Linked DNA regions of Macaca fascicularis. The protein of the gene in region 2 binds, or shares a complex with, the protein of the main gene of each other region. Links are inferred from orthologs where the notes say so. Each region holds a gene or a part of one and is shown on either strand. Other genes may lie near its edges. The genes, in order: ESR2 and NCOA5.

What was found.
Region 1: the proteins of NCOA5 (region 2) and ESR2 are in contact, whole or in part, in a crystal structure (PDB 4ZI1), measured with the Homo sapiens proteins. The link is inferred for Macaca fascicularis from reciprocal best matches to the Homo sapiens genes NCOA5 and ESR2. Residues at the interface, in NP_066018.1 of Homo sapiens: Ser344, Leu345, Ile346, Leu348, Leu349, Ala350, Asp351; in NP_001428.1 of Homo sapiens: Ile310, Lys314, Phe319, Leu324, Gln327, Val328, Leu331, Glu332, Leu490, Glu493, Met494.

Annotation. Positions count from the first base shown.
Region 1 is NC_088381.1:132,127,524-132,131,868, forward strand, and holds the start of ESR2 (estrogen receptor beta), read right to left. Parts: upstream 2,967-4,345; 5' UTR 2,631-2,966; intron 1-2,630.
Region 2 is NC_088384.1:102,116,486-102,120,304, forward strand, and holds part of NCOA5 (nuclear receptor coactivator 5), read right to left. Parts: intron 2,010-3,819; coding exon 1,873-2,009; intron 231-1,872; coding exon 104-230; intron 1-103. UniProt on the Homo sapiens protein: Nuclear receptor coregulator that can have both coactivator and corepressor functions.

The DNA.
Region 1 (4,345 bases), on a different chromosome or scaffold from region 2:
CAGTTTGCTGGTTCCTCATAAACTTGCTACTCTGCATATCCTAGTTACTACCACTGTAACTGGGTATGCAAGGTAAGTTACATATTTAAAATACAGGCTGTTTTTCATAGAACAAAGGAAAAAGGAAAAAAACATCAATTTTATATATGTATATTAGCAGTACCTACCAATAACAGGCTCCTAACTGCATACTGAATTGAATACTGTATTAAACAGTGAAAACTATTAGTTTACAAAACATTTTGCATCTCCACCCACCAGGAAAATCTAGACTTTAAGACATGAGCAGAGAAATTTAAAAATCCTGACATCTACAAATAAGTTGGGTACAGACCTAAGCCCCTATGAAGATAAATATTTTACCTTCAGCAATTGTAATCACTCTGCATTTTAAATGTCTTCAATTTGTCATTTTCAAACCCTCTTTTGCTTCTCACTATTTGATAATATGCAATTTCAGGTAGCTTTCTTAATCTCAGGTATAATGAAAGTAGTTTTTTTTTTAATATAGAAGTTTTAAAATTCAAAGATTATACCAGAATGATGCATTCTACTAATATGATATAAATAACTTTTAATGGCCTTGTATTTCAGTTCAGGATAACTAATGATATATGCCATAACCAAAGGTTTAAACCACAATAGAATCTAAATCTGCGAAGAACTAAATCTATTAGCCCTATATGAATTTAACACTTAGTCCAAGTCTCTAGTTTCCCATTTGCAAGTAGCATTGTCTTTGCCTTGATTTATCCCAAGGTACTAGAATTCAAAATACCACAAACTGACTCATCCTATAAAAAGGGAAAAACAGGTTTTTCTTTCAAAAAAAAGTGAAGGAAAATATGTCTAAGTAAAAACACACTAAAGAGCAAAACTACATACTTATTATGTAGTTTTAATCAGTCATTTTCAGGGGCAGTGGGGTAGGTGGAGGTACAAAGGGGACTTTTGGGGTGATGGAACTGTCTTGTGTCTTGTCTGTGGTGCTGGTTACATGACTGTGCATCTGTCAGAATTCATAGAGGTACACTTACAGAGGCTAAATTTTACTGTATGTAAATTATACTGCAGTAGCCTAATTTTTTTAAGTGCTATTGCACATAAAACAGTGTGCTAGACACTGAATTATGACATCTAACGTTCAAGCATACAATTCTCAAGGGTTCTAGATGTATTATCAAAAACTTACCATTAAACACTTCAAGTTCAGCCTTCAGTATTTTATATTTTATCCACATTTATATTCTATAAAATGACTCAAAACATCACCTAAACTTATCACAAGATGAATTTTGAATCATTATGTGTTCAATACACACTTAAAGAAAATCTCATTGTCTTATTCTTAAAAGTGAACATATCAATATCTATTAAATGTTAATTATATGGTTATGGGTTGAATTTGCTACTAAATTTTACCTTTTCTGAATTATAAATACATTCTGAGAAATGCAAACTGTGATTTATTCACATCCCTCAGAACACTACGAAATGTGTCCTAAACATGTTAATTGATTTCAGCGACTTCTATGTCTTGAGCAAGACTTCAGTGTTAACAAGTGTCTCATGGCTTTTAAAATGAGAACGTTTCAGAAATTCATCTAAAAAATTGCTTGAACGTAAAATGCAATCCTAAGGTGTATACTCTAATGCCTATTGATAAACAGATCCTTAGTTTCCCTCTAGAACTCATGTCAAAATACATTTTCTTCAGAAAAAATAGGAGTCAAAGATGTTAATCATATTCTTTTCATAGTCACATTACATTTGCTTTTTACAACACTCTCAGAAAAGTCTTTCCTTTCACATGTTCACTCTTTAAATGACAAACATCTTTCCCCTCACTAGACACTGAGTCACGAAACTTAGAGCAAAAATAAAACTTTCTAATGGAATGCCCATGTAAATACTAGAAATAAAGCAAAATAAGGCAAACTCTTTCCTTCAAAATGTTGCCTACCACACCCAAACACAATCCTGCTTTTTAAACAGCAAGTAAAAGTAAATCAACCTTACTTTCCTAAATAGAAGTCCACTCAAAGTTTTTTCCACAAATATAACATTCACTTGACTTAATATTATCCTTCCCAGAAGAATAACACACAGGGTGTTAGAAGGCAGTTGTTGGACTCCTCTTCAGCAAATAAAGGAGACCAGATAGAGCTTAGCTTGGTCTGCCCAGGAAAGGAGGAACGCAGCTTGCTGATATGGCTAAGGAATGCCAATTAATACATTTTAAAACCCCTATCATCTGCCTGAGACGTGTACATCTTCCTAGGCCCTCAAATTTCAATCAGAAAGTGTGTTCAACTCCACTGTCATTTCACCCACAGTGGGGAAATCCATCGAGGAAAACCACAGGAAAAAAAAAAGTTTTTCAGACATTCATATTAGCACAAGCAACCCAGAGCTCACAGCACAAACTAAATAAGTTAACTTGCCGGTGTCTTGAATGAAGACATTTAATCAAAGCATACATTTTCCATCTTTCCAGTAGCTTTCAAGACAGTTGGTTTTGGTGACCGTTTTTTTGGTCTTTTATTGTTCTCAACACGACTGGTTTCTCACCGCAGGATTTCAAACAAAATGAGACAATTAAATGACATCTCGAGCGAAGGGGCGCTTACCTTGCAGATAAACACACGGGCCTTGCCTTCTCTAAAATGCGGACACGTGCTTTTCCAGCATTATGGGGCTCCTGGCGCGCGCCCCGCGGCCACCTGTTGAGGAAAGCGAGCGCAGCTCCTGCAGCCCAGGCTCGGGGCGCCAGCCCTGCCCCGCAGCCCCGGGGCCCGTCGCAGCTCGGGTGGTCCCTCCCCGGCCCAGCGCTCGCCGCCTGCTCTCCGCCCTGCAAGTTTCAAGAGGCAGTTATTTCTCGCAGCCACTGCGCTTGCAACTGCCTCCGAGCGGGGGAGTGGGTGTCCAAAAAGCCAGCAGCTGGAGAAACTGAAAAGATCACAAGCGACTAAACGATAAGCCCCTTCTTCCTTTTAAAGACCGAGAGGAGGGTAGAGGGGAGTAGTGCCTGAGCCCACGTGACCACCGAGCCCGGGAGCCCGGCGGTCTCAGGAGCGCCCGGCGCCGCGCGTGACCCCAAAGTGGGAGCACCCTCGAGCCGCCTCCTGGTCCACCCCCAAGGATAGTGGCGCACAGATGGCGCTCCCCGCAGCCGCAGTCTCAGATTTAAGAGGTCTGTAGTAGGGCCTAAGAACATGCATTTCCAACCAGGTCCTGCGGGATGCCGACACTGATACAGCCAGTCTGGGGACCACACTTCGAGGATCACGTCCCCCCAGCCCCTGACTCACATAAGTGTCATTCAGTACAGAAGTCTGATTCTAAGGAGCCAGTGGTGAAACCAGAGAGGCTTTGGGTTTGTCAATCCCCAGCAGCATACGTTAACTTCGGGTCCTGGAGTGGCAAAGCCGTGGACTAGAGGTGGAGGGCGTGGGTTCTCAGCTCTCAAGAGCTCGCTAGGAAGGCCTTTCGCGTTAGATCAAAGATCCCAGGTACTTCCTCGAACTCACTTGGTGGAAGTGGCACTGGGGAGACCTGTGCCTCCGGCCGCTGCGCCCTTCTCGGCTGGAGGTACCTGCCCACCCCTCTCCTCAGGCGAAGGCCCCTCGCGCCTCCTGGTGGCAGCCCCAGTTCCCCCAGCTTAACGGGGTGTTCCCCTCACCCAACCCAGGAGGAGCCTCAGGGTGTGAGACTGCGACCACCATCTTAACTGGCTTTAAGGCAGCTGCTGCTGATGAAAATTAAAAGGAAAGTAACGTGTGACCCACAGGCCATTGCGAGAACCCAGTGTCACATCTGTGCCTAATTAATCATCAAACCACTCAGGTGGCATAAGGGACATGGTTTTTGAGGGTTGTGATCCAGATCTCTAACAGAGGAAGACCAAGGGGGCATTTGGAGGGAACCTTTTACAGTACCAGCCTCAACTGTTTAGTGTTTAGCCAAAATAGACACAAGTGTGCTCCGGGTTGATAAGGATGAGGTCCGCAGGTAATGAAGACAGGCTCCAAAGATGGAGAAGCACCTGCTTCATCAGCTAAACAATAGCTGTGAAAAGCCTCCACTGCCCCACACCAACTCCAATTTTCATTAAAGCTGACCTGGTTTCTCTCAGGTTGAAAGGCAGAGTCTCCCGGTCCTTGAGGCAGAGAAGTTAGTTTGGACAGGAAGAGTGTGTCGCTGGCAAATAAATGCAGTGGACAACATGCCAACCTCAGCCTCCCTGTCCCCTGTCCTGGGGTCCCTCAAGGTACCCAGTTCCCATATACTCCTCCTCCTTGCCACCTTATGGAGAAAATGTTAAATGATGGTTTAAAAAAATCAG
Region 2 (3,819 bases):
GCAAGAATACACAGCTCAAATTCAATGAACAGAGGTGCTAAACAGGGGCCTGAATTTCTCTGACTCTTCTCCTTACTGGGGAGAAATATTTAAGGGTTCTTACTTTGTCTGTTTGTTGACGACAATCACAGAACAATCAACAGGCCTTTCGGCATCAAAGCGTCTCTGGATTTCCTCAAAATATTGACGATAAAGCTCTTCTCTACGCCGTTCCTCACGTTTCAAACGCTCTGCAAGACACCACCAGGGTAAACTGAAATAAGGACTGGACCCTTCTATAAAAACAAGCCACAGGCCTCATTTTAAATCCTGAGCTACTTGTAGGCAAAGGTCATCTCTGAATCAATCCTTTGGTCTATCTCCTAAAAATAGCCAGCATTAGTATTTTTTACTATTAAAAATTAACCAAAATGTAATGGCTGGATTAAAGGGCATGGCCATTTTTTTTTGAGATGGAGTCTTGCTCTGTTGCCCAAGCTGGAGCGCAGTGGTGCGATCTCAGCTCACAGAAACCTCCACCTCCCGGGTTCAAGCAATTCTCCTGCCTTAGCCTCCTGAGTAGCTGGGATTACAGGCACCCGCCACCATGCCCAGCTAATTTTTGTATTTTTAGTAGAGACGGGGTTTCACCATGTTGGTCAGGCTGGTCTCGAACCCCTGATCTCGTGATCTACCCACCTCGGCCTCCCAAAGTGCTGGGATTACAGGTGTGAACCACTGCACCCGGCCCAGGGCATGGCCATTTTAATGCTGCATCTGATACTTACTGCCAAGCTGCTCCGTGGGAAGGCTGGTACTAATTTATACCTCCACAGACGTAGATCATCTAGTACCTATTTCTCTACACCTTAGTTAACACTGAGTACTGGCATTCTTTTTAAGTCTTACCAACTTGACAGATAAGAATAGTATTCATTATTATTCTAATCTGCATTTTTGATGACTTTTTTTTGAAAAAAAAAAAAAAGTAGTAAAGTTTAAAATTAAAAATTTTGAAAGTTCTTGTTTTAAAAGAAAAAAATCAAGTAGTAAAGTTTAAAATTAAAAAATTAAAATTAAAAATGAGGTTCTTAAAGATTTCAACTTAGCCAGGTATGAGGTAATTTAAGAAACTTTAAAGATGTATTGAGAAAAACCAGGCTTTAAAAAGACATGTTTGTCTTCATCTAAAAAAGAGATGCTATTAGGTAAAAGTTACGCAAAACCAAAAGCCTATTTTGCATAGATAATGCAGATAGTCAGTCATAGTTATCTGGTCAGCAAGCAAAAAACAAGCACTTAATGTATTAAGCTCCAATCTTTTGTTCATTTTTCTTTTTTTTTTGAGACAGGGTCTCACTGTCACCCGGGTTGGAGTGCAGTGGCACAATCATGGCTTGCTGAGACCTCAACATCCTAGGCTCCAGTGATCCTCCTACCTCAGCCCCCCGAGTAGCTGGGACTACAGGCGTGCAGCACTGCACCCGGATAATTTTTGTATTTTTCTGTAGCGATGGGGTTTTACTATGTTGCTCAAGCTGGTCTTGAACTCCTGGGCTCAAGTGATCTGATGGTCTTGGCCTTCCAAAGTGCTAGGATTACAGGTGGTGGCCACAGTGACCAGTATTTTGTTCATTTCTTATTGCTGGAATTTAATATTTATTTCTTCTTGTTGGATGTCTAAACCAGATGATGGTACTAATTTGCATCTTAAAAATCATTTTCAAGCCAAATGCCCTTTACCCACTAATAAGCTACTTGTATTTCTTCTTTTCATACACTGTTTGGCCAAGTCACTAGCCCTTTTTCAGATGGGGTACTGGTTATTAATTTCCTTTCTCTTTTGTAAAGTGTTCTATCACTAACAGGAATAGACTGTTTCAGCTACTTTACCTTTTGCACGAGACTGACTTTCTGGGCCTGGAGGGCCTCGTCCATCAAAGCTATCTCTGTAACGGTCAAAATAAGAGTCATCCTTTCTCCTGCAATAGTCATCCATTCGTAGGTATCGGTCATAAGAGCCTTCTCTCCTAAAAAGTTAAGGAAATTTTCATAATGATAAAACTGTGTCCTATACTGAAAAAATCATCTAGAGAATTCTTTGGGATTAGACAAATGAGGTTTATATCTGAGACTCACTGCATATCAGCTCTGTGGCTGTGATAGTTAACCTGTCTCACAAAATGATGGGAAGGGATGAACAGAGATGATGTACAGAAAGCACTTAGCATAGTCTTTGGCATATATTAAATGCAAAATAACTGGCAGGAATTATTGATATTAGTTTTGAGGAAACATTACACGTCCCTCCCTTGTGCTTTTTAAAATTATACTTAAACGTATGTAACAATAATTTGCCATTTTAACAATTTTTATTTATTATTTTTATTTTTTTAGTAGAGACGGGAGTTTTGCCACGTTGCCTAGGTTGGTCTTGAACTCCTGAGCTCGGGCAATCCGCCAACCTCAGCCTCCCAAAGTGCTGGGATTACAGGCGTGAGCCACCGTGCCTGGCCTAACAATTTTTAAGTATACAATTCAGTGGCACTATATTCACAATGTTGTGTAATCACCACCATTATCTATCTAAAATTTTTCATCACCTCAAACAAATTCTGCATTTGTGAAATAATAACTCCCCTCTTTCCAGCCACTGGTAATCTTTAATCTACTTTCTGTCTCTATAAATTTGCCTATTCTTGATATTTCATATAAGTGAAATCATACAATATTTGTCTTGTGTCTGGCTTATTTCACTTAGCATAATGTTTTCAACATCCTTCATGCTGTAACACAGATCAGAACTTCATTCCATTTTATGGTTGAGTGATACCACATTATATGAATACATCACTTAAAAAAAAATCCACATCAGATGCAGTGGCTTACACCTGTAATCTCAGCACTTTGGGAGGCCAAGGCAGGAGGATACCTTGAGCTCAGGAGTTCAAGACCAGCCTGGGCAACATAGTGAGACTCTACATCTATACAAAAAGCTACCCAGGTGTGGTGGCGTATGCCTGTAGTTCCAGCTACTTGCGAGGCTGAGGTGGGAGGATTTTTTTTTTTTTTGTGAGACGGAGTCTCGCTCTGTCGCCCAGGCTGGAGTGCAGTGGCGCGATCTCGGCTCACTGCAAGCTCCGCGTCCTGGGCCCACGCCATTCTCCCGCCTCAGCCTCCCGAGTAGCTGGGACCACAGGTGCCCACCACCACACCCGGCTAATTTTTTGTATTTTTAGTAGAGACGGGGTTTCACCGTGTTAGCCAGGATGGTCTCGATCTCCTGACCTTGTGATCCGCCCGCCTCAGCCTCCCAAAGTGCTGGGATTACAGGCGTGAGCCACCGCGCCCGGCTCAGGTGGGAGGATTACTTAAGCCTGGGAGGTCAAGGCTGCAGTGAGCTGTGATCATGCTACTGCACTCCAGCCTGGGAAACAGAATGAGACCTTGTCTCAAAGAAAAAAAGATCTATTAATCTGCTGACAGACATCTGAATTGTTTTTACCTTTTGGTTATTATGAATCGTACTGTTATGCATATTCATGTACAACTATCTGAGTCCCTCTTTTCAATCCTTTTGAGTGTATACTCAGGAGTGGAACTGATAGATCATATGGTAATTCTATGTTTAACTTTTTAAGGAACTGCCAAACTGTTTTCCATAGTGGCTATACCAATTTGCATACCTACTTGCAATTTCTGATGGTTTCAATTTCTCCATACCTTTCGAACACTGTTATTTTCTGTTAAAAATGTTTAAAATCATTCATACATTCAGCAAAATTTATTGAGCAGCAGCACATCTACCACTCGACAGTCACTAGAAATATAAGGCTGATA